4 linked regions of the Caenorhabditis elegans genome follow. The protein of the gene in region 2 interacts with the protein of the main gene of each other region in a pairwise test. Each region holds a gene or a part of one and is shown on either strand. Other genes may lie near its edges. The genes, in order: pygl-1, samp-1, npp-9 and sec-23.

The links.
Region 1: the proteins of samp-1 (region 2) and pygl-1 interact in a two-hybrid assay, tested with the Caenorhabditis elegans proteins (one large-scale study listed by BioGRID).
Region 3: the proteins of samp-1 (region 2) and npp-9 interact in a two-hybrid assay, tested with the Caenorhabditis elegans proteins (one large-scale study listed by BioGRID).
Region 4: the proteins of samp-1 (region 2) and sec-23 interact in a two-hybrid assay, tested with the Caenorhabditis elegans proteins (one large-scale study listed by BioGRID).

The regions. Positions count from the first base shown.
Region 1 is NC_003283.11:3,577,521-3,585,178, forward strand, and holds pygl-1 (Alpha-1,4 glucan phosphorylase), read left to right. Parts: upstream 1-1,621; 5' UTR 1,622-1,647; coding exon 1,648-1,701; intron 1,702-3,866; exon of another isoform or gene 3,867-3,877; coding exon 3,878-4,558; intron 4,559-4,610; exon of another isoform or gene 4,611-4,682; intron 4,683-4,799; exon of another isoform or gene 4,800-4,871; intron 4,872-4,933; coding exon 4,934-5,155; intron 5,156-5,211; coding exon 5,212-5,768; intron 5,769-6,074; coding exon 6,075-7,032; intron 7,033-7,092; coding exon 7,093-7,269; 3' UTR 7,270-7,522; downstream 7,523-7,658.
Region 2 is NC_003280.10:11,301,316-11,306,228, reverse strand, and holds samp-1 (Transmembrane protein 201 homolog), read right to left. Parts: upstream 3,339-4,913; coding exon 3,277-3,338; intron 3,224-3,276; coding exon 2,973-3,223; intron 2,922-2,972; coding exon 2,402-2,921; intron 2,356-2,401; coding exon 2,277-2,355; intron 2,228-2,276; coding exon 2,100-2,227; intron 2,048-2,099; coding exon 1,484-2,047; intron 1,021-1,483; coding exon 858-1,020; 3' UTR 543-857; downstream 1-542. Other genes in the region: raga-1 (GTP-binding protein), read right to left, coding at 3,775-3,870, 3,921-4,011, 4,059-4,667, 4,723-4,865. UniProt on the Caenorhabditis elegans protein: Plays a role in nuclear migration in hypodermal cells.
Region 3 is NC_003281.10:3,400,110-3,405,887, reverse strand, and holds npp-9 (Nuclear Pore complex Protein), read left to right. Parts: upstream 1-1,611; 5' UTR 1,612-1,624; coding exon 1,625-1,642; intron 1,643-1,691; coding exon 1,692-1,784; intron 1,785-1,829; coding exon 1,830-2,255; intron 2,256-2,308; coding exon 2,309-2,806; intron 2,807-2,910; coding exon 2,911-3,371; intron 3,372-3,420; coding exon 3,421-4,318; intron 4,319-4,578; coding exon 4,579-4,722; intron 4,723-4,780; coding exon 4,781-4,897; 3' UTR 4,898-5,244; downstream 5,245-5,778. Other genes in the region: golg-4 (GRIP domain-containing protein), read right to left, coding at 53-154, 199-312; F59A2.5 (L antigen family member 3), read right to left, coding at 479-638, 687-815, 927-1,009; Protein clpf-1, read right to left, coding at 5,310-5,420, 5,482-5,748.
Region 4 is NC_003283.11:20,089,475-20,094,284, reverse strand, and holds the start of sec-23 (Protein transport protein SEC23), read right to left. Parts: upstream 3,023-4,810; 5' UTR 3,018-3,022; coding exon 2,880-3,017; intron 2,128-2,879; coding exon 2,033-2,127; intron 1,978-2,032; coding exon 1,833-1,977; intron 1,784-1,832; coding exon 1,694-1,783; intron 1,420-1,693; coding exon 1,306-1,419; intron 33-1,305; exon of another isoform or gene 1-32. Other genes in the region: dcs-1 (m7GpppX diphosphatase), read left to right, coding at 3,543-3,659, 3,747-3,927, 3,975-4,120, 4,779-4,810.

The sequences.
Region 1 (7,658 bases), on a different chromosome or scaffold from region 2:
GTTCCATAGCGACTTGATCTACAAAAAATAAGGGAAATTTTTCCACAGAAAAATTACCTCATCACACTCTAAACCATGCGAATTCAATTAAGAAATGTGCGTCTAAATTACCGAAGCGATTATTTTTTATTTCATAAAACTGTTCAGCATAATCAAATATACCAGAAAATACCAAACAACATACTCTAGCTTGTACGGAAGTTTATTTTAAAAAATTTCAAAACTTAACCAAAAGCTGTTATATTCAAAAATTCAAAAGTACGGTAAAATGGTATGGAGTCATTCTTTTTTATTTCATAAAACTGTTCAGCATAACTAAGTATACCAGAAAATACTAAACAACATGTTGTTAATTAAAAAAGACATTTTTTAGCAGTTTTTCTTCAGATTTTATTACGGACACACTAAATCCTGAGAATGCGTATTGCGCAACACATTTGACGCGCAAAATATCTCGTAGCGAAAACTACAGTAACTCTTTAAATGACTACTGTAATGCTTGTGTCGATTTACGGGTTTGATTGTGTCATCACTGTCACTGTTCGAAAATAAAATCATTTCGAAAATCGAGCCCGTAAATCGACACAAGCGCTACAGTAGTCATTCGAAGGATTACTGTAGTTTTCGCTACGAAATATTTTGCGCGTCAATTGTGCTGCGCAATACGCATTCTCAGGATGTAGTGTTCCAGAAATATCTAAAATATAAATTTATTTAAAAAAATAAATTTTTAGCAGTAAAATTGAATTTTTTTAATTGTATTAAACATTTTAATAATATTTTATTATTGAACTAGAGGTTGTTTCATGAAATAATTTGAAATAATTTTTTTTTTCAATTTTTTCGAAAAAAGGTAATTATTTTTGAATTTCTGACGATAATTTAGCGATTTCTGGCTTGAATCACCTTTTTCTTTCAAATTTTCAGACTTTTTTTCCGGAAAAAAAGTAAAATCATCGATTTTTACGCCAAATTTTTTTTTCTAGTGGTATTTTTTTTCTAGTGGTATCAATTTTCCTTCACGCAAAAAATATCTGAAAATTAGATGAACGGTGTTTTAAGTGTTTTAAATCGAAAAATCAAAACAAAAACAATTAATTTTGACAGAAAATGGGAAAAAGTCAAAACGTTTCATTTATTTGCGCAGGAATTCGAAATTAATTCATCCACTTTTCTTATATACTTGCAAAATTCTTTTTAAAAAATCATTAAAAAATTGAGATAAAAAGTTTTTTTTCAACAGTTATATTATGTTGTTACGGCCAATTTTCTATGCTTTGAAGCAAGTTTTCAATATAATTTGTTCTAAATTTGATCTTAAATGAATTTTCTTTAAAATAATCTGCAATTTTTAGGAAAAACTGTTTTTCAAGCAAGAAAAACTAAATTATTTATTTATTTTTAATTAAATTTAAATTCAAATCCGCTACGGCGAGTACGGTGCGCATCGGTGTTTGCGTACTCGCCTACCGTACCCTCGGTGTTGTTGGCGCGAAAATTTTGTTTTCCAATTTTCAATCATGGCGCCAATTTCTGCATTTTCGGTGCAATAAACCACTTGTTTTCGTCAATTTTTTGATTGTCTTCTCCAAATTTTTATCAGTCATTCTTCACTGTTCACCTTCGTAGCCGCCGGTGACACCGAAAATGTCGGATATTGCTGCTCGTTTTGGATTCTTCAACTGGAACAACGTGCGCCCGGTAAGTAATTCGCTGATTATTTCATGCTATCAAGCTTCTTCTTCATCATCTGCTTCATCTGCTTCATCTCTTCATAAGCCAGAAAATCATAAGAAAAAAAACAGCGAGCAGGCAGGGATTTAAGTGAGTGTGTGCGTGCAAAATGGGGAAACGGCCGGCTGAATCTTGCCGAAAAACACGTACGCTTCACTTCAGGCTTCTCCTTTTCGCTTCTCGCCGGCACACACACACACACACACACATGTCAGTCTACTTTTCCCGCCACTTTTCTTCAGCCCATCCTCTTCCTCTTCTATAGGACTTCGGCTCCCAGCTCTCGTTTCACTGGTCATTTCATTTCATAAGCGACGGTGAAAATTGGAATCTATCGAACCTATACGCCTCAAGAATCGTTCACCTTGCCCCCTCCAGCTCGTCGCGTTGTTTGTGCGGTGATTGGTCCTCACTGTACATATACAGTGTTCAAAAAACGGAAAAATACCCGTTTTGTTGTTCTGCTGCACCGCCCGTCTTCTCATTGATATCATAACAGGAGGCGGTGATGATAAGAAAGTCGGGAAATTAATATTAAAGCTTCTAGAAACAGATTTTTCCTCGCCAAAAAAAAAATAAAAAATCTCTTGATTTCTTGGTTTTTCAATTTTTCAATCTTCAATCTCGTCATCTTCTCGACAAAAAATTTGAATCTCCGCCTGCTTCTCTCTCTCTCTGTTTCCCTATCAGTGTCCGTCGGGGTCACACACAACATGTATTTTTCTCTACATCTCTGCTTCTCCCAGAGTTGTTTTCCTCTCCTCACATTTTACACACACGCTCACAAACCCCTTCGCATCCTCTCCCCATCCATTTTTTTTAGATGGCTCGGGCCTCTATGCTCTTTTTTCGATTCCACATAAGCGTGGCAGCTCCCCGAAAGTTTTCGGAACTTTTTTTCAAATTTTCTCAATTTCCAATGGCATCGATCATTCACGTGCACACACTCGTCTCAGTTGAAAAAGAATTGATAAATCGGCAGTGACAAGAATTGTTTATCAAACACAAAGCGGCCATGTCTACCGATAGTCTTTTCCATATTCGAACAGATTTCCGCAAGATTTTAATTAATTAATTCGAGTTGACAGCACAATCTTTGAAGATTCGGTTTTGCGACAATTAAATGCTTTTCTTTGACAAAATCATAAGTAGAAAAGCTTTAAAGTTCAAGCTTCAGGCTAAACAAAAAAGGCTGTGAGCAAAGAACAAAGTCTTCCGTAGCCCAGAAGAAAGTGCCCCTCACTTTCATTAATTTTTTTTTCGATTTTCTTGGGCCGACCGGGTGATAAAAATACACCGAAATATCCTGTCGTCGTCTACTGATTGTTGTTTTATTATCACTTACGCGTTATCAGTTTATCGGTAGTTTTCTGCATGTTGACTGACCGCCGACACGGTCAACACTGATATTATTCGACGTTTTAGCCTGATCAGTTTGAAGCGATGCATTTCACTCCTCAATGATCAGCGAAAATATTTTTTCTTCGATTTTTTTTTTGGTTCAAGGAGGAATGCTTGCTTGTATAGGATCAAAACTTCGCAGAAAATTACTAATTTTAGCTAAGATCCCCAGTTTTGCCAGCTTTTCCGTGTCGCAGTGCTCAGAGACTAACTTTTATTTGATTATCATCTTTTATTGCATATTTTCATCACTTATTTCGTTGATTGAGGCATTTTTGGTCCCTTATCGGCTTAAATGCACCTAGATCAATGAAAAAACGTTGGATAAATGCCCAATAAATGATGTTAATCAAATAAAAGCTAGTTTCTGCGAACTGCGACACGGAAAAGTTCGCAAAACTAAAGGTTTTTGCGGAAATTTGCGATTTTTTTGAAAAATATAGCAAATCCACGTGGCTTTCATACTTTTTTCAAAAATCTTTCATCTTGGAAATCACGGGGCCGGCCCCTGCTATCAATATTGATTGTTGACTGATCACTGAACTGCCCCCCTCCTGTTGACTTTGTACTGCGTCGACTACTATCTCGCAACACATTTTGTTTTCTGGCCTGACTCGCCATTGCCTGCAGTGTTCGAAATTTTTGTTTGTCCACCATTCTTATCACAGTAGCCGAACAAGTTATAATTTTCACCACTTTCCGCTCATTTTTTCTCCCAAAAAAACCAATTTCCAATTTTCAGCAGCCCGTGGTTGCCGAATCGACTGCCTCATCGTCGAGTCCGAAGCTGTTCAGCATGATCACCAACGATCACGATCGTCGCAAGCAGATCTCCGTGCGCGGAATCGCTCAAGTGGAGAACGTGTCGAACATCAAGAAGGCGTTCAATCGCCACCTTCACTTCTCGATCATCAAGGATCGTAACGTGGCCACCGATCGCGACTACTACTTCGCGCTCGCCAACACTGTCCGCGATCATCTCGTGTCTCGCTGGATACGAACTCAACAACACTACTATGACAAGGATCCGAAGCGGGTCTACTATCTGTCGTTGGAGTTCTACATGGGGCGAACGCTGTCGAACACAATGATGAACCTCGGAATTCAGGCGACCGTCGACGAGGCGCTCTACCAGCTCGGTCTAGACATTGAGGAGCTTCAGGAGATCGAAGAGGACGCCGGGCTCGGAAACGGAGGACTCGGACGTCTCGCCGCGTGTTTCCTCGACTCGATGGCCACGCTGGGTATTCCGGCTTACGGATACGGGCTTCGCTACGAGTACGGAATCTTCAAGCAACTTATTCGTGACGGATGGCAGATTGAGGAGCCAGACGATTGGCTTCGCTTCGGAAATCCATGGGAGAAGGCTCGTCCAGAGTACATGCTTCCGGTCAACTTTTATGGAAAAGTTGTGAAGGAGGATGTGAGTTTTGATTTTTTGGAGAAAATTAAATTTAAAAAAATAAAAAAGGAATGGGCCGAACTGGGGATTGAACCCGGGACCTCTCGCACCCAAAGCGAGAATCATACCACTAGACCATTCGGCCATGTTTGGAAATCGTGTTTGGAAGCAATCAAGATGCACAATAATCGATAATTGGCTGATTGCGAGAAATAATAAGATTCGATATCTCTTCATCACCAGCTTTCACGTATCTAATCGTGGCCGAATGGTCTAGTGGTATGATTCTCGCTTTGGGTGCGAGAGGTCCCGGGTTCAATCCCCGGTTCGGCCCATTCCTTTTTTCTTTTTTTCGCTTACTTTTTTTATTTTTCATTAAAAAATATATTATTTCAGGGAAAATCGAAATGGATCGACACTCAAGTTGTGTTTGCCATGCCATACGACACACCAGTCCCCGGATACAAGAACAACATCGTCAACACGCTTCGTTTGTGGTCCGCCAAAGCCGAAAATCATTTCCACCTCAAGTTCTTCAACGACGGAGACTACGTGCAGGCTGTGATGGATCGTAACTTGTCCGAGAACATCACTCGTGTCCTCTACCCGAATGACAACGTATGTTTGAGCTAGATTTTGGCAGAAAAAAAAAATCAATTTCCCCACATTTTCAGATGTTCCTCGGAAAGGAGCTCCGTCTCAAGCAGCAATACTTCCTCGTCGCCGCCACCCTCCAGGACATCATCCGCCGCTTCAAGTCCTCCATCTACGGAAACCGCGAGGCCGTCCGTGTCAACTTCGAGACCTTCCCGGATAAGGTGGCCATCCAGCTCAACGACACTCATCCATCGATCGGAATTCCCGAGTTGATCCGTCTCCTCATCGACGTCGAGGGACTCACCTGGGATCAGGCCTGGGACATTTGCATCAAGACCTACGCCTACACCAATCACACCTTGCTCCCAGAGGCCCTCGAGCGCTGGCCAGTGTCGCTTATGCAGAATTTGTTGCCGCGTCATTTGGAGATCATCTACGAGATCAATCAGAAGTTCATGAACACCATCTCGCAGAGATTCCCAGGAGATTTCGACCGTATGCGTCGTATGTCGATTGTCGAGGAGGCCGATCAGTTCGGCGAGAAGCGCATCAATATGGCTCATTTGTGCATTGTGGCTTCTCATGCCATTAATGGAGTCGCGGCTCTTCACTCGGATCTTCTCAAGAGCTCCACGTAAGCGAAAATGCTCTGAAACCTGGCGCTAGAACCAATGGGCGACGCATCATTTTGCAGCTCCGCCGCACGAATTTATTTTGGCTGTTTTTCGCATGATGTTTTGAAAGATTTCGATATGTGAACTCGATAAAATCACGAAAAATTGATAATTTGTCATTGAAAATTCGGACAGAAAGAGAAAAAACATCGTGCGGCGGTGTTGCTAAATCGCGCGCCGCAAATTGCAATCCCGGCCCGCCCAATTTTTCTTACGCGCAAATTGCAAAATTACCATTTTAAAAAATTAATATCATCCATTTCCAGCTTCCGTGACTTCTATGAGTTCTACCCGGATCGCTTCCAAAACAAGACGAACGGAATCACACCACGCCGCTGGCTTCTTCTCTCCAACCCATCTCTCGCCGACCTCATCGTCGAGAAGATCGGCGAGTCGTGGATCACCAATCTCGACGAGCTTCAGAAGCTCAAGGAGTACGCCAACGATGCCGGGTTCCTCGATTCGATTCGTCGTGTGAAGCTCGAGAACAAGCAACAAGTCGCCCAGTATTTGAGCGACGAGTACAATGTCAACGTGAACGCCGCTTCGTTGTTCGATGTGCATGTGAAGAGAATCCACGAGTACAAGAGACAGCTTCTCAATATTCTCCACGTCATTGCTCTCTACAATCGTATCAAGGAGAACCCGAACATCGATATGGTTAAGCGTACCGTGTTGTACGGAGGAAAAGCTGCTCCAGGATACCATATGGCTAAGCAGATCATTCGTTTGATCACCGCCGTCGCCGAACAAGTCAACAATGATGCCATCGTTGGTGATCGTTTGAAGGTCATCTTCCTCGAGAACTACCGTGTCTCGATGGCTGAAAAGATCATTCCAGCTTCTGATCTCTCTGAACAGATCTCGACCGCCGGAACCGAGGCTTCAGGAACCGGAAACATGAAGTTCATGTTGAACGGAGCTCTCACAATCGGAACTCTCGACGGAGCCAACGTTGAGATGGCCGAGGAGATGGGCGACGAGAACATCTTCATCTTCGGAATGAACGTCGAGGAGGTTGAGGCGCTCACAAAGCGCGGATACTCTTCGCAGGAGTTCATCGACAAGAGCCCAATGCTCAAGCAGATCATCGAGCAAATCGAAGGTGGCATGTTCACTCCAGAAGATCCAGATCAGCTCAAGGATCTCTCCAACATGCTCCGCTATCATGATCGTTTCATGGTGTGCGCCGATTTCGACGCTTTCATTGAAGCCCAGGATAAGGTAAAACTCAAAAAATTCAACTAATTCAAATTTTTACTGATCAAAATAAATTATTTTCAGGTCTCCGCTACATTCCGCGACCAAGAGAAGTGGTCTCGCATGGCCCTCTACAACATCGCCTCGACCGGAAAGTTCTCAACAGATCGCACAATCACCGAATACGCTCGTGAAATCTGGGGAATCGACCAGTTCGAGAGCTCTCTTCCAGCACCATATGAGAATGAGAAGAGCGAATAATTCTTCTATGCACTAACATTGTAATTAATTATCGCCATAACTTCCCCTCCTCTCCGTCCCATTTAGTTTATAGCATTTTTATAGAAGCCTTTCCCTCCCCCGATAATTCTTGTGAATCTTCAAGATCAAATTGATTTTGTCCTCTCTGCCCCCAGTCCAATAATCGTACTTCCCCCGAATGTGTTGCCATACTTTGAGATTGTCTATTTGCACGTCTGCCCTGCATATTTATGATAAATTGACTGAAAATATCAACTTTTTTTTTTTAATTTTGACTCGAATCTGCAAATGCTGAAATTTAATTAAAAATTATGGCTGTCTGAAGGATCTTCAAAGAAGTTTCGATACCTCTACGACCAGCTCGTTAGCAAAATACCAAACTCCTTTTC
Region 2 (4,913 bases):
GAAGGGAGGATCACAAGTGAATGAAATATGAGAAGAAAAGGGAGGAAAATATGAGATACGGAAGAGAAAAGGAACAAATGACGGTGTGGATAATTGTGAGAAGATGAATACGAGTAACCGTAATTGTGGCAGAAGATGGTAAAAGTCGAACTGGCGTCGTCTGAGCGGCAGCAAAATAATTAACCACTACGCCACCGGTGGTTTTTAAGATTTTTTTATTTGATTAGCAGTAAATATAGAAGTGTTTTTTAAGTTTTGTGAAAAACCTTACAATTTGCCAATTTCAAAGTTTTCCCAATTTTGGGCATAGAAAACTGGTATTCAAAAGAGACATCTACTAAAGTGAGGTCAGGCGGACAAACAGAGGACACGAAGAGTGTGTGAATTGGCGAGACGCAGAGATTCGACCACTCCCAGACAGTGTGCAATCCGGGAGAAGCGCAGGAGTGGAGCAATTGTGTGGTGCGCAGCAGGCGGGATGGGGAAGCTGCCTTGTTTGTTGATGTTGTTGCAATCCATTTCTCATCTTTTGCGCGTTCTTTTTTCTCGGGAATTATTCATTTTGTCAATAGACTTGTACTGGAGAGAGATGTATATGTAGATGGGTTTCATGTAGTAGAAATTGAAGTAGTAAGGTATTTAACAACGAAGTGAGATCATCAGAGAGGGTGAAAAGGGGCATATTTGAAAGAATAAATTCAACAAAACGAGCTAGACACACATCAAATAGTAAAAGAGCACTGGGAACCCAAATAACTTGAAACTAATATCACACAGGATCAAACAACAAAAATGTGAATAGGGCATGATGAGGAGAGAGATGAAACATAGAAAACAACATATATAATAAGGTCGAATCAATTGCGGGTGAAAAGAACGTAGAACAGTCCGATCTGCATGATGAGTACGATAAAAACCAGCGCGAAGAGGATGCCGATGACGCGACACTGCCACGCGCCGCTGACCGTTGAGTGTCCGTCTTGTTGCGAGACCGATGTGAACACTGAACCGGGTCGAGTGCTGTAAATAAATAAAATTGATGGGAATCTTGAAGGTTAATAGAAGGAAAAACGTAGAAAAACCAAACAGAATTTAGTCAATCTTTTCAATAAATGCTGGTTCTTGCAAAATATTATTGGCTCCAAAATACCGTAACCACGGTCTCGAAACGAAAATCTAATCTTCAAATTTTAAATCTAAATTGAATAATAACGGAATTTTCAATTCTTTTTAAATTAATTTTAGTTTTCATCTGAGCTTACGTGACCTGTGACTTGAAAGGTCTAACCAAAATTCCACATATTATTTATCAAAGTCCAACGTCCAATCAGTTCTAAGTTTTTAAAAGTCTAATATACAATTATCCTGCACAAATGCTATCACACTATTGCTTCTCTAATTATCATTCTAAACAAAAAATAACTGATTGTTCAAGATTAAAGGGTTAAGTTTTAATAAATATTTCAGTTTCAACAAATCTTACTGTGCTTCCGGTGCCATGTAGTGGCTCCTGTCGTATTGTGAAGCTACCATAGATCGTGGTGGCCCGAACAATGATCTAGTCGGTGTGTGATTCTGTTGCTGAGCCATTTGCCGGTGTTGTCTTGAGAATATACTTGGAGAATCGACAGATCTCGTATCAAGATTCAAATTTGCCACGGAGGGTGTAAGCTGTTGAGCAGTCATTCTTTCATTGATATTTCTGGATAAAAGTCCTGGCTTGAAATGACTGGAACGAGTTGATTGAGCAACCGATTGAGCCGCCATCGATTCACTATCATCCCAATCCATTGATTCCACGTGATTGTTAGGTTTAGTCTGATAACTTTGCATATTTTCCTTGTTCTCCCGACTTCTCATTGCAGACCACACTGGACCATTTGTTATTTCACGGAGCAATGGTGGAGAGGAATTCATTGCTGGAGGGCTTGCTGATGGCGTATGTGGAGATCTTCGAAGAATCGTGTGGTCATGATCGAGAAGTGAAGCGTTTCGACTGTTTTGTGAAGAGCATTGAGAGATCGGAGTTGACGCAACAGAGAAGGCACTGAAAATTGAAAAAGTTGAAGGAATTTTTAAAAATAAAATATTTATTTAACCTTGAAACAATCTTATTCGGTCGTTTCTTATGCAGCTTTTTCCTTGGAAGAAGTGTCACTGCCATTGAAAGGATCGTTGAAAACGAAGCACATGCACCTCTGACAAGAGCGACATCTTGTGATAAATTCTGAAAAAAAGAGGTGTAAAACTTGCAAAGGGTATATTTTGAAACTCACATCACTTGAAGTCAAAACTGTTAGCATTGCGAGGATCAGAAGGATGGGCAGCAGCAGGTCGGGAAGAGTAACTCGGCATCTGAAATTAAAATTACAGTTTTTTTGTATTGTAGAATGAAACTTACTTATTATTAAATGCAGCAATCAAATGTGTAGTGAAGATCAGAAAATTGATGACGAAGGAATATTTATAAACTTCTGGCAGAATATCTTGAAGAGCCTTTGGCAAATTGATCAGCGATGCTCCTGCATCTTGCTGTAAGAAGTCGATATTCGCCAAAAAGAGAATAATTGAAGAGATGAGGCATCCAAAATGAAGAGCTTCACATGTACTTCCACCGGCGAAGAAGAATCTCCGCGATCGTTTCTGATTGTTCATCACTTCTCGTAGAGTAGATCCAATTGCATGTTTCAGCTTATATTTCACTTTCAGAAGATATGAGTATTTCTTCTTATCCTCCTCCAGCTTTCCATGAACTTGAATTGTACATCTCGGACACAGCTGGTACATTCTTTCCAGTTTGTATCGATAATCCTCGAGCTCTTCGTTCCATCGATCCTCATCAATGGGCTCGAATTCTGCGACCTTGTTCATTATGATCTCCTGGCCGAGGTTGCATTCCGAGCAGAGACCGTTAGAAGCTTCTGGAATTTTAATTTAACTCATAAATTATAAAAAAAGGATATTAAACTCACTAGGACTCATGTTCACCCCGCCAAATCGATCCAAAAATGTGCTCGGCTTCTCTGACTGCATTTTCCCCGGCTCACAATATCTCTTGGGTGTAGTCCACGCTTGTCCAGGAATCCGACGGTTATAGTCTCCGTCTTCGGTGAATCCGTTGTATTGTTCGCATGACGGGCAGGTGAAGCTATTCCTTTGCTGGTATTCGACCTTCGTGCTTTTGCGGCAAAACCAGCACTCCACCGATGTCTTTATCCGAGGTCTGAAAATATGTATAATTATTAATTTTTTGCAAATTAAGAAGAAAAACATTACCTTATAGCCTTATAAAGGATCGGAACTGAAGCGATCACACCGACCGCAGCAGCCACCTCCATCTGAATTTATATTGAAATTTTATACTTTTTTAAACATAGATTAAAATAGGCAGACTTGTTGATAACAAATTACTAATTAAACGAGAAAATATCAGTTAAATTCCAAATGAAAATATAGCACAATTCATATACAAATACAGAACAAGAACACGAACGATAGGTTTTTTCGATGATGACTATCGCAAAGAATCGGATTTGGATGGTACGGGGAGAATTAAACAAAAAAAACGAAAAACTTCGCAAAAGCACTGGCGAAACGGAAAATCTAAGCGGTGAATTACGAAATATAGTGAAAAATATAGAGTTGAACAATTTTGCAGTTGGATTTAAATAAATCAGTTTAGCATTATAATACAGCAACATGGGATATGGGATGGTAACTAAACGAAAATAACTGGAATGCGGGGCAAGAACTCGGTGAAATATTCAAATTCGTCTAGCTTTTCGTCTCGATCGCCTCGAACACCTTCCTCGCGTTCTTCACGTTCATTGTGATCATTGGAGCCGATGCGTTGCCGTCGGGTATCACGATCTGAACAAAATAAAATAGTGTTTTAAAATACATTTTATTTGAGATTTTACCATAACATAAGTGTTCTGGGTGAACGAGTCGATGAATGCGGAGAATTGACTGTTTCGGACTTGAATCGAATCCAACTTGGACCCCATTTTTCTGAAAGGAAGATGAAGCTTGAATTAATCTGTTTCGATGTAACTTACGTGCATGAAAGCTTGAATTGCTTTATGATGTTTGAAACCTTCTCGAATCGATGTGGATCCTTATGCTCTCGGAGAACAGCATGCGCAATAACCAGGAACGTCGCTCTCTCGAATAGAATAACTTCATCGGCATCCAAAATAGCTCCGAACTTCTTCAGCTTGTCCTCCATGGTTCCGACGTTTGGCACCAGATGATAGACTATCGCGGACCACGCTTTGTAGAGTGTCTCATCCCAAATACTGCTCTTGAAGCATTGACAAACAGCGTTCGTCCGTTCATTCTGAAGTGGAGTCGCTGCAAGTTCACTGTATCGCAGTACATCTGCTTCACGACGTTTGAACGTCTCTTCACGTTTGTCCTCCTCGATCAGATCCATTTTGTGAATGAGACAGAAGACTTGAGCATTCGGTGAATTTTGGAGAAGAGCTTCGAGACAAGACTGGTAATATCTGAGATCTTTCTCGAACTCTCGGCTTTCCACGTCGAATACGTATATGAGCACTTGAACATTCTTGAAGATCTGATCCTTTTGCGAGACGAGGAAGTTCTCCATGAATGATTCCTGACCACCACAATCCCACAAGTGAAGAACCATGTTTCCGAGGAACCTGGAAAAGGAAAAATTGTGTTCTTTTGATAATTGATCCAGAATTGATCCCTTACTTGACATGAGCATGCTCAACTTCGATTGTTGGCCCGAGACGCGAACAATCCCTGGCGATGTAGTTGGCAAATATGATCGAACGCATCGAAGTCTTGCCGGATCCACTTTTGCCCATCAGAAGAACTTTTCGTTTTGAAGACATCTTTTCTGAAAATAAATTATGTTTTTTTCTGAAGATCTTTGAAACAAA
Region 3 (5,778 bases), on a different chromosome or scaffold from region 2:
TTTTCGACGATAAATTCAATTTTTCGAGAATTTTTCATGTTAAAACTCTCACAATAGAGGTATTTGCTGGATTTTCAGCTTTAGTTTCTCCTGATTCTCCGGTGAATCTTTTAGAAATCGACGCGGATGCATCACTGCCAGCAGGCTGCTCATTCTGCAATTTTATCGATTTTTTCTCAGTTTTCAGTGGATTTTTACCATCGCCTGCCGATATTGTCCAACTTGAGCGGCGAGTTGTTCTCCATACTGCTGAGCTGATTGTTTAAGCTTTCCGGCTTCATTATCCAGCCGGTTTTTCAGGTTTTTGAACATTTAAACCTGAAAAAATCGATTTTTTAGTGGGGAATTTGCAATAAAATCGAAAAAAAAAGTATTTTAAAGGTTAAAAACCATATTTTTAAGAAGAAAAAATCATGAAAAGTTGAAAAAAATTCATTTCAAAAAACAAAAACAGAAAAAATAACAAATTTTAATCAAATTAAGCCTGAGATCCGTTTGAGAGTTTTCTTTTCAATCCGTTTTCCTTCGATTTTCCCAGATTTTCACAAAGTTTGATAGTTTTCACGGACAAATCGATCATATCAACAGCGTTGGCAATGGATTTTGACAATGATTTCGGATCTTTTGATTCGATTTTTCTGAAAATTAACTTATTTATTTAGTTATTCGAATAGAAAAACTATTACATGACTACAAATTCGCCTTCGCTGCACACTTCCCGTCGAGCACCACTTCTTCTCGGCTCTTTATCGATTTTTATGACATCTGCCACGGTTCGAGCCGCTTCTTCTGTTCCGACGGATAATCGTACGCTTCTGGAATTAATCGGATTAGAAACTGCTGTTAGAACTTCAGAAAATGTTAATTTTGAAACAAAAACATTTAAAAAACAGTTTGTTTTTTGTGTTTTTTAGCGAAAAACTCACGCTGAGTGGATATATGCCGTGCTCGGAGAGCTTGGGTCACATTCGTCCTCTGAAGATGACGATGAGCTTGTGTCTACTTCCATTTTGTTGTTGTAATCACTAAAAAACACAATTTTGAAAGTTTCTGATGAAAAATCAATAAATTCGCTGAGAAAAGTGAATAATAAATGCTATTCCAGGCAAAATTGACATTTCAAAAACCGAAAAAGCCATAAAAAACGACGGAAAATATCAAAAATCCTGTTTTTCGCCTGAAAAACCGGTATTTTCCATGAATAATTGCCAACTCATGGTTAAAGGCGCGCGTGTCGATTTACGCAACGGGTCTCGCCACGGCGCAGGAATTTGAACTTTTTTCGAAATTTGCGAAGCTTGGCGCCCAATTTCTATTTATTTTAGACTGTTTCGCCATAGTTTTTCCGTATTTTTACGAAAAATAGCTGGAAAACATTTTTTGTGCGTTTAAAAGCATATTTTATACAGAAAAGACTAGTTTTAAAGGTAGGAAAGCCCTATTTTAAGCAGGGAAAGCGTTGGCGCGAAATTTCGAAATTCAAATCCCTGGCGCGAATTCTTTGAAGTATTGCTGCTAATTTTCAACTAAAGAGACCGCAGTATTCGTCTTTTTATCTCGCTTTAGCTTGAAGTCTCTTGAATTGTTTACCTGATATTTTTCATATTTCAGCTCTCCTTTCGCAATGAGCGATCAGAAGCCGGTAAGTGAATCTTTTCGAATGTTGCTCAACATGATTCACGGTATTTCAGAATATGGGGCGCATTGTCGCCAGCGTCGTGGATGTGCAGCAGTTGATGACAATGCAGTTTGACTCGCTTATCAAAAGCATGGACTCGTTGAAGGTATGCGATTCATGAAAAACTCAATTTAATACTTATTTTTCACAGATTGAGCACCAGACCGGCGTCACCCAGCTTCGCGATGATATTCGTCGATCCGAGGATCGGTTTCAGAAGCAGTTGTCCGATTTGAGCACTAATCACGGAAAAGAGCTCGAGAGACTTCATCAAATTATACACACTCTTCTTGCTCGTGATGCGAATCCTCTCGGCTCAATGATTCCTCCACAGCAGCTTCAGCAACAACAGCAAATGTTGATTCTTCAGCGACAAATGGAGATGGCTCATGTGCAGGCAGCACAAGCTCAAGCTCATGCTCACGCTCAAGCTCAAGCCCAAGCACAGGCCCAAAGCCAAGTTATGGCTAATTTGCTCAATGCTGCGAAGCCAGCTATTCCCGTTACACAGCCACTGGTCGCCACTACAGCACAAGCAAAATCGACAGTTCCAGCTTCTGGAGTTATTGCACCAAAGGTAACAAATTTTCGGGTTTTAGTTCCAGCAATTAAAAATTCAATATTTTTCAGACATCTCCACCAGAAGTTGTAATTCCACCTGCTAAGCCAACATTCTCTACTCCAACGCCTGCAGTTGTTCCAAAGCCAGCCACCACCGGATTCTCATTCGGCGGGACCAATCCAGCTACTTCAATCTTCGGTAAAAAGCCTGAAACTGCTTCCCCAGTCGTGGTTCCAGCAGCTAAAGATGATGAAGACGAAGAACATGATGAGGATTACGAGCCAGAGGGCGAGTTCAAGCCAGTCATTCCACTGCCAGATCTTGTCGAGGTGAAAACTGGAGAAGAAGGAGAGCAAACCATGTTCTGCAATCGTTCAAAACTCTACATTTATGCCAACGAGACGAAGGAATGGAAGGAGCGAGGAACCGGCGAGCTGAAGGTTCTCTACAACAAGGACAAGAAGTCGTGGAGAGTTGTTATGCGACGAGACCAGGTGACCATTTCGGAGGAGACACTCCCTTCAAATATTGAGAATGGAACCGAAGAATTGTGTTGGAATATTCAGGTTATTCCAATTACAGCTTTTTTCACATTTTTCGGCGTTTTCCTCAACAGAAAGATCTTAATTTAAATTTAAATACCTTAATTTAGCATTAAAATAAATTACAGGTTCTCAAAGTCTGTGCCAATTTCCCAATTCTCGGCTCGATGACCATTCAACAAATGAAATCCAACGAGAAGGCCTACACATGGTTCTGCGAGGACTTTTCCGAAGATCAGCCAGCTCACGTGAAGCTTTCCGCTCGTTTCGCTAACGTCGATATCGCTGGAGAGTTTAAGACTTTGTTCGAGAAGGCTGTCGCTGAGGCAAAATCATCGAGCAACGCTGGAAAGACCATCGACAAGGAAATCAAGCCGGCGGCTGAGGTGAAGAAGGAAGTCAAGCAAGAAGTTGTGATTCCATCAAACAACAAACCGGAAGAGACTGGATTTGGAGATCAGTTCAAGCCAAAACCAGGATCTTGGGAATGCCCTGGATGCTATGTTACTTGCAAAGCTGACGAGATTGAATGTGCCTGTTGTGGGACATCGAAAGACGGATCTGTCAAAGAGAAAAATATATTCTCTAAGTAAATATTCTATTTGAGTTATCTTAAAATTAAAAATTTAAATTTGCAGACCTTCGATCCTCCAGCCTGCCCCAGGAACTCCAAAAGTGACATTCGGATTCGGAGCATCTGCTCCAGCCAAGGAACCTCTTGCTCAAACATCTCAGTTCGGTGGATCACTCAGCGGATCTCCAAGCACTAGCAGTAGCATTTTCGGTGGTGGAACACCAAAGGGAACAAGCGTTTTCGGTGGAGGTGCTGCTAATACTCCAACTTTCTCATTCAACAAGCCAGCTGCCGCTGTCAATGCAACTACCCCATCGTTCAATTTCAACAATCCTGCAGCTTCAACTGCTTCTCCGGCAACCTCTACGACTCCAGGAAATTCATTGTTCGGAGGTGGACTCTCCAAGACTGAATCTACAGCTTCTTCAACTACTACTCCGTCGTTTATGTTCGCCAAGAATTCTGAAAGTGCCTTCCCAAAGCCAACTTTCTCATTCGGAAAGCAACAGACTCCATCAACGACTGCACCAGCTAAACAAGAAGAAAATAAACAGTCCGAGACGCCAAAATCCGTGTTCGGTAGTGGATTCACGTCTGGAGGTGCAACATTCGCTGCCCTTTCAGCCAACTCTGCCAAATCTGGCTCCATTTTCGACGCAGCAAATGTCAAGAAGGCCCAAGAAGAACTTGCTGCTCAGAAGAAGGCAAGCATTTTCGGGAGCAAGAACACCACGTTGAACACGACTTCTGCAACTTCACACGATGGTGATGAGACGAATGAGGATGGAGATGGGGAGTATGAGCCAGAAGTCGAGTTTAAGCCAGTTATTCCTCTTCCGGATTTGGTTGAGGTGAAAACTGGTGAAGAGGACGAGGAGGTCATGTTCTCCGCCAGATGCAAGCTTTATAAGTACTATTCGGATCTCAAGGAGAATAAGGAACGTGGACTCGGAGATATTAAGGTCAGATTTAGGATTTTATATCAAAATGAGCCAGCTTGGCATGTTCTTTTGATAGTTTTCATTAAAATTTAGTGATAAAACGTAGAAAATAACTTATTTCAGTTGAAACAGTTAAGAAAAGTGCTAGTTTTGCGCACTTTTCAACTGTTTTGCAAGTATTTTCTATGTTTTTTCACTAAATTTTAATGAAAACTATTAAGAAAACAACTGATTTTTGACTCATAGAGGCTAAATTTGAGAAAAATAATTTATTATTTCAGCTCCTGAAAAGCAATGACAACAAATATCGAATCGTGATGCGTCGTGAGCAAGTCCATAAGCTCTGTGCCAATTTCCGTATCGAAAAGTCGATGAAGCTCAGTCCGAAGCCAAACTTGCCAAATGTGCTCACATTTATGTGCCAGGTAGCAATTTTTAATTTCTTTTTATATAAAAATGTACTATAAATTCCTTATTTTTCAGGACTTCTCAGAAGACGCCTCCAACGCTGATCCAGCCATCTTCACCGCCAAATTCAAGGACGAGGCGACCGCCGGAGCATTCAAGACGGCTGTTCAGGATGCTCAATCGAAGATGTAATCCTCTGCTGATTATTTAAATTATTTTATTATTGTTATTCCTCCCCACCCAGCACTCTGTGTTAGTATTCCCCACCACCAATTTTATTTATGAACCTAGTTTTATTCATCCCCATCTGCTGTCATCTATAGTCCTTTAAGTGTAGTTTATATTTGTCTGGTAAGGTTTTTAAAAAAATAATTTCCTTATTTCCCCCCCATCTCTCTCAAAATCCCATTGTTCTCATAAGTACCCCCCACACACTATCATTCATAATTTTTGTCTTTAAAACTTAACTATATTGTTCACATTGTCCCGGCATCGATTTTTCCCCACTGGTGACAATCCAATAAATTGTGAATGCATTGAAGAATGAGATTTATTTTGAGGGCGGGAAACAAATAAATAGGGATTAGGAAAAAAAAGAAATAAATTATCGTTTTATTTGATCATCAAGATGGGTGATATCTGAGAAGACGAGAACTTTCGATGGAATTGTACGCTGTGGGCAGAGAATTGACATTGTTCGCTTCTCCAAATCAACCTGAAATTTGGATAAAATTGAAATTTCCGTTCGAGACCCAAAAACTCGACGAAATACCAACCTCCGTGACAAGACAAAATCCAAAAACCGGCGATTTCAGCACATTTTCGTCGGCTTTCGTGCTCCGCGAGAACGCGAACAAATGATGTTTAATGTCGGCACTGGGCTCCATGATAACCAGCTTTGTCTCATGATTTTCAACTTCCATTCCGAATGGTAGACATGAATCGGGCAGTTGCTCGGCTCCGATTTTACAAAGAGTGACGTCATCGAAGCTGACGTCAAATGTGAATGGGTAGAGATTGTTGGCACGGGTTCCGTAGAAATACTGCAAAAAAAAAGTTTTTTCTTAACAAGT
Region 4 (4,810 bases), on a different chromosome or scaffold from region 2:
TCTTATGAAGTTTGAATAAAAAAGTGTATAGTCGGTGTATAGTCGTTAATTAACCTATTAACTTAAAGGTGGTGTAGTCGAAAATTATTGAAAATTCACAGATTTCAGTGAAAAATTCGAACAAAACAAGGCTATACACTTTTTAATTCAATTTTCCATCCAAAATCTTATAATTCTATTCATTGGTTAGTAGTATGGTAATTCAATTAAATAATGCGCTACTTATGCTCAATTGACCCAGTTTTCTCGAAAAAGTAGGATTCTTCATAAAAAATAAATGTTAAATTGAATGTTATACTATATATATAGTTGTTCTGAAACGTTACAGCTCTGCGGAATAGGTAAAGGTGGTGTAGTCGAATTTTTTTTATTGCCTTATTAGACTCAAAATTGTCTGAAAACACCGAATTTCATAATGAAACTTCTTGAAAACTTGACAAAAAAAAGTTATGGCGGCTCAAAAAATGGCCTAAAATTAGTTAAAATTTGAAATTTGACCGACTTGTCAAGCGGCTGGAAACACTTTTTTTTTGAAATCACCGTCAAATTTTGAGTTTACAAGTTGATTATCTTGCGTTTTAAACTTGATTAAGGTATTTAAAAATCGATGTACGGCGAGATTTTTAATTTTTTTTATCGATAAACTCGCCGTCCATCGATTTTTAAATAGCTTAATCAAGTTTAAAACGCAAGATAATCAACTTGTAAACTCAAAATTTAACGATGATTTCAAAAAAAAAAATTTCCAGCCGCTGCGACATTGATAAGTTAGTCAAATTTCCGATTTTAACTAATTTTAGGCCATTTTTTGAGCCGTCATAACCTTTTTTTGAAAAGTTTTCAAGAAGTTTTATTATGAAATTCGGTGTTTTCAGACAATTTTGAGTCTAAATAAAGCAATTTGAAAAAAATCGACGACACCACCTTTAACTATTCCGCATTTTAGAGCTTTAACGTTTCAGAACAACTATATATATAGTATAACATTTAATTTAACATCTATTTTTAATGAAGAATCCTACTTTTTCGAGAAAACTGGTCAATTGAGCATATTGAGCGCATTATTTAATTGAATTACTATACTAGTAACCAATGAATAGAATTATAAGATTTTGGATGGAAAATTGAATTAAAAAGTGTATAGTCTTGTTTTGTTCGAATTGTTCACTGAAATCCGAGAATTTTCAATAATTCTCTAATTTTTCGCTATTCATTTTGCATTTACTTAGTGTTTTTTTTTTGGCATTTTTCGGCATTTTTCAGGCTTCTAACCCAAAAAATCCAATTTTCCCTGCAATTTATTACCTTGAAAACGTAGCTTCTCGAGATTCCCTGAGTGTTGAGCTCATGCAGCTGGACCATTCTACCGTAGGTGATCAATCCGACGAGAGCATCGGCTGGGAGCAGCGAGAGAGCAGTCTGAAATTGGAAAAATTGGGAAATTTTGCCCAAAAATCTGAATTTTACGGCAAAAATTGCCAATTTTCATGAAAAATAACACTATTATGTTTAAAAAAGTCGAATTTTCAAGCGAAAATGAGCAGAAATTCCCATTTTTCAGCAGAAATTCCCATTTTTGAGTGAAAAAATCACAAATTTTGAGTTGGAAAACCGACGAATTTTCGAGCAATTTTCCGCGAAAATTTTAAAAAACCGCCGTTTTTTTCTCAATTTTCTGCAATTTGTCCCGTACTTGAAGGCATTCTTTCAGCGATTTCAGCTCCTCTGCAGTCATACACGTGTCGACGACGAAAACGAAGATCGGCGGCATTGTGGTGGCTTTCTGGAATAAAGATTTGGCTTAAAACTCGGATTTTTCAGCATTTTCTCACTCGAAGCGTGTACTCAATGGTTGTAAATTGTGGATAGAGCTCCGGCGGGCGGTTATCCTCGGCAATTGCCGCATAATGAGCCGGGAACGGATTCCGATTGTTGCAGAATGGGCACATCCAGATTTTGGCGCGATAATCGACGGCGCTGAAAGCATCATTTTTCGGGGTGAAAATCGGGCAAAAAAAGGCCTGAAACTCACCAAAGTGGGTTTAAAATCGCTTTACAGCTGGCTTTTTGGCACAAAACCGGATCATATTCCAGTGGTGGTTGGGCGACTTCTGTTGATGGGCGCTCCTGGAAAAAAAATTTGGTTTTTGAGAGAAATTTGATGAGAAATCGTGAAATTTCAGCTTAAAATCGGCTTGAACTCCGCAAAATTGGATTAGCAGCGCCTAAAGCTTGTAGTTTGTAGTTTAGCAGCGCCTAAAGCTTGTAGTTTGTAGTTTCAGCAGCGCCCAAAATTGGATTAGCAGCGCCCAAAACGTGTAGTTTGTAGTTTAGCAGCGCCCAAAATTGAATTAGCAGCGCCCAAAACTTGTAGTTTGTAGTTTTAGCAGCGTTCAAAATTGGATTAGCAGCGCCCAAAACTTGTAGTTTGTAGTCTAAGCAGCGCCCAAAATTGAATTTTTTTTTTGCGTTTCTCAGCGGAATTTTACGATTTTTGCAGAGATTACCGACTTTTTAAGGTAAAAATGCAGAAATTCCGATGGAAATTGAGAAAAAAATCGCGTTTTTAATCGAAAAATTGCTGAAATTCATGCCTTCGGTGTTTCGAAGCTGCCGATCGGCTCGAGCAGCTACCAAATTTGAATTTTTAGAAGATTATAACGAATTTCTGGCAAAAAATGAAGCAATCCACTAAAATTTGCAAAGATTCGGAGAAAATTGATGGAATTTCGATGGATTTGAAGAAAAATTGCTGAAAATAGGCTTTTCCTCAGCTTTTGGCGCTGCTCGGCAGCTACAAAATCCAATTTTCAATGCTTAAAATTCAATAATTCCACGAAAAATTCGAAGAAAATCCAGTTTCCGCGCCTCAGTTTTACCTTCAGCGGCGTGAAAAAGCAGGTGAGCGGGACGACAAGCTTCTGAGAATCCACTCGACTGTGTGGCCACATGTTCCACGTGAATTGGACGCCATCGTTCGCCTGTTGAGCACCCAAATATTCTTCCCAAGTGGCCATTTTTACTGGAATAAACTGGTAATGAACTTTTTATCGCGGAAAATGATGAAAAACGAGGAGAATACGTGGATTACGTGTGAAATTCTGGTTTTTCACCATTAAATTTTAATTTTATTAATATAAAACACTGAAAATCACGTTTAATAGCGAAAAATCGAGTTTTTTGGGTTTTTATGGTTGCCCAATCAATTTTCGTCATTTTTTCGACATATGCAAGGTGAAAACTATGATTTTTACACTAAAATCAATAAAAATCGACTTATTTTCAATATTTTAGCAAGAAAAATCAGAAAAAATGGTGAAAAACGAGTGAAAATCTGCAAAATTCCAACAGAAAATGTACACGTGGAGGAAGATGGCCGAGAAAAGAATTGGAGTTTTCTAGGCCGCGGCCAGTGTGTTGTTTTACGATGCGTGACACTTTTGAAAATGTTTTTTGAGTTGGTTTTCTCGATTTCTACCGTTTTTCGTTGCAATTTCTGTATCTTTTTGGTGAATAATAAGTGAAAATCTCGATTTTTCAGTATGAAACGGATCGCCGACGAGGAACTTGTGCGAGAGGAGCGTGCAGAGGAGAGTACACAGAAATGGCTGCAGGATGCCAAGTTTCAAGAGATTTTAGGCGCTGATTCGTCGCATAAGGTGAGAAAATCAATAAAAAGTGAATTTTTTGCATTAAGAAACAATAAATTTCACCTAAAAATCATAAAAATCAATATTTTCTTCCAGTCTCTCTTCGTTTTGCTCTCCCATCCCGATGGATCTCAAGGCATTCTGCTTGCCAACAAGTCTCCGTTTTCCGAAGAAAAATCCGATATCGAGAAGCTTCTGGCGACTGCACAGCTTCAAGAAATCTCCAGAAATGACATTTTCGGGTCCTATAATATAGAAATCGATCCCAAATTGAATTGTAATCCACACAATCTTGCTTAAATTAATTTTTAATTCAATTTTCAGTGCTAAAATCTCAACTAATCTACCCGATAAACGATCGTCTCATTGCAAAATACCGTCAGGAGGAGAAATTCGTGATTCGAGAGACTCCAGAGCTTTATGAGACTGTTACAAGGCCGTATATTGAGAAATATCAGCTGAATCTCAATGTAAGCAGCGAAAAAATGAAGAAAATCGGAGAAAATACCAAGAAAATGAGTTTAGCAGCGCCCAAAACGTGTAGTTTGTAGTTTAGCAGCGCCCAAAACTTGTAGTTTGTAGTCTTAGCAGCGCCCAAAATTGAATTAGCAGCGCCCAAATCTTGTAGTTTGTAGTCTTAGCAGCGCCCAAAATTGAATTAGCAGCGCCCAAATCTTGTAGTTTGTAGTCTTAGCAGCGCCCAAAATTGAATTAGCAGCGCCTAAAACGTGTAGTTTGTAGTGTTAGCAGCGCCCAAAACGTGTAGTTTGTAGTCTAAGCAGCGCCCAAAATTGAATTAGCAGCGCCCAAAACGTGTAGTTTGTAGTCTAAGCAGCGCCCAAAATCACGATTATCGATTTTCACTCGTTTTTCTTCGATTTTTTCGAATTTTTTGATTTTTCTTTTGGTTTTAAGTGAAAAACAAGACAGAAAATGAGAATATTCTGCAAAAAATTGACAAAAACCATTAAAAATTCGTAGATTTTCTCTGTTTTTCAGAGTTTTTAGCGTTCAAAGTGAATAAAAATTCGGAAATTAGTAGAAATACTGAAAATCGCACAATTTTAAATGAGAAAATGCGATTTTCCGCTCGAAATTTCTTTTTCAAAAATCAATTTTTCGTTTCAGTGGGTGTACAATTGCCTGGAAAAGCGCTCGGA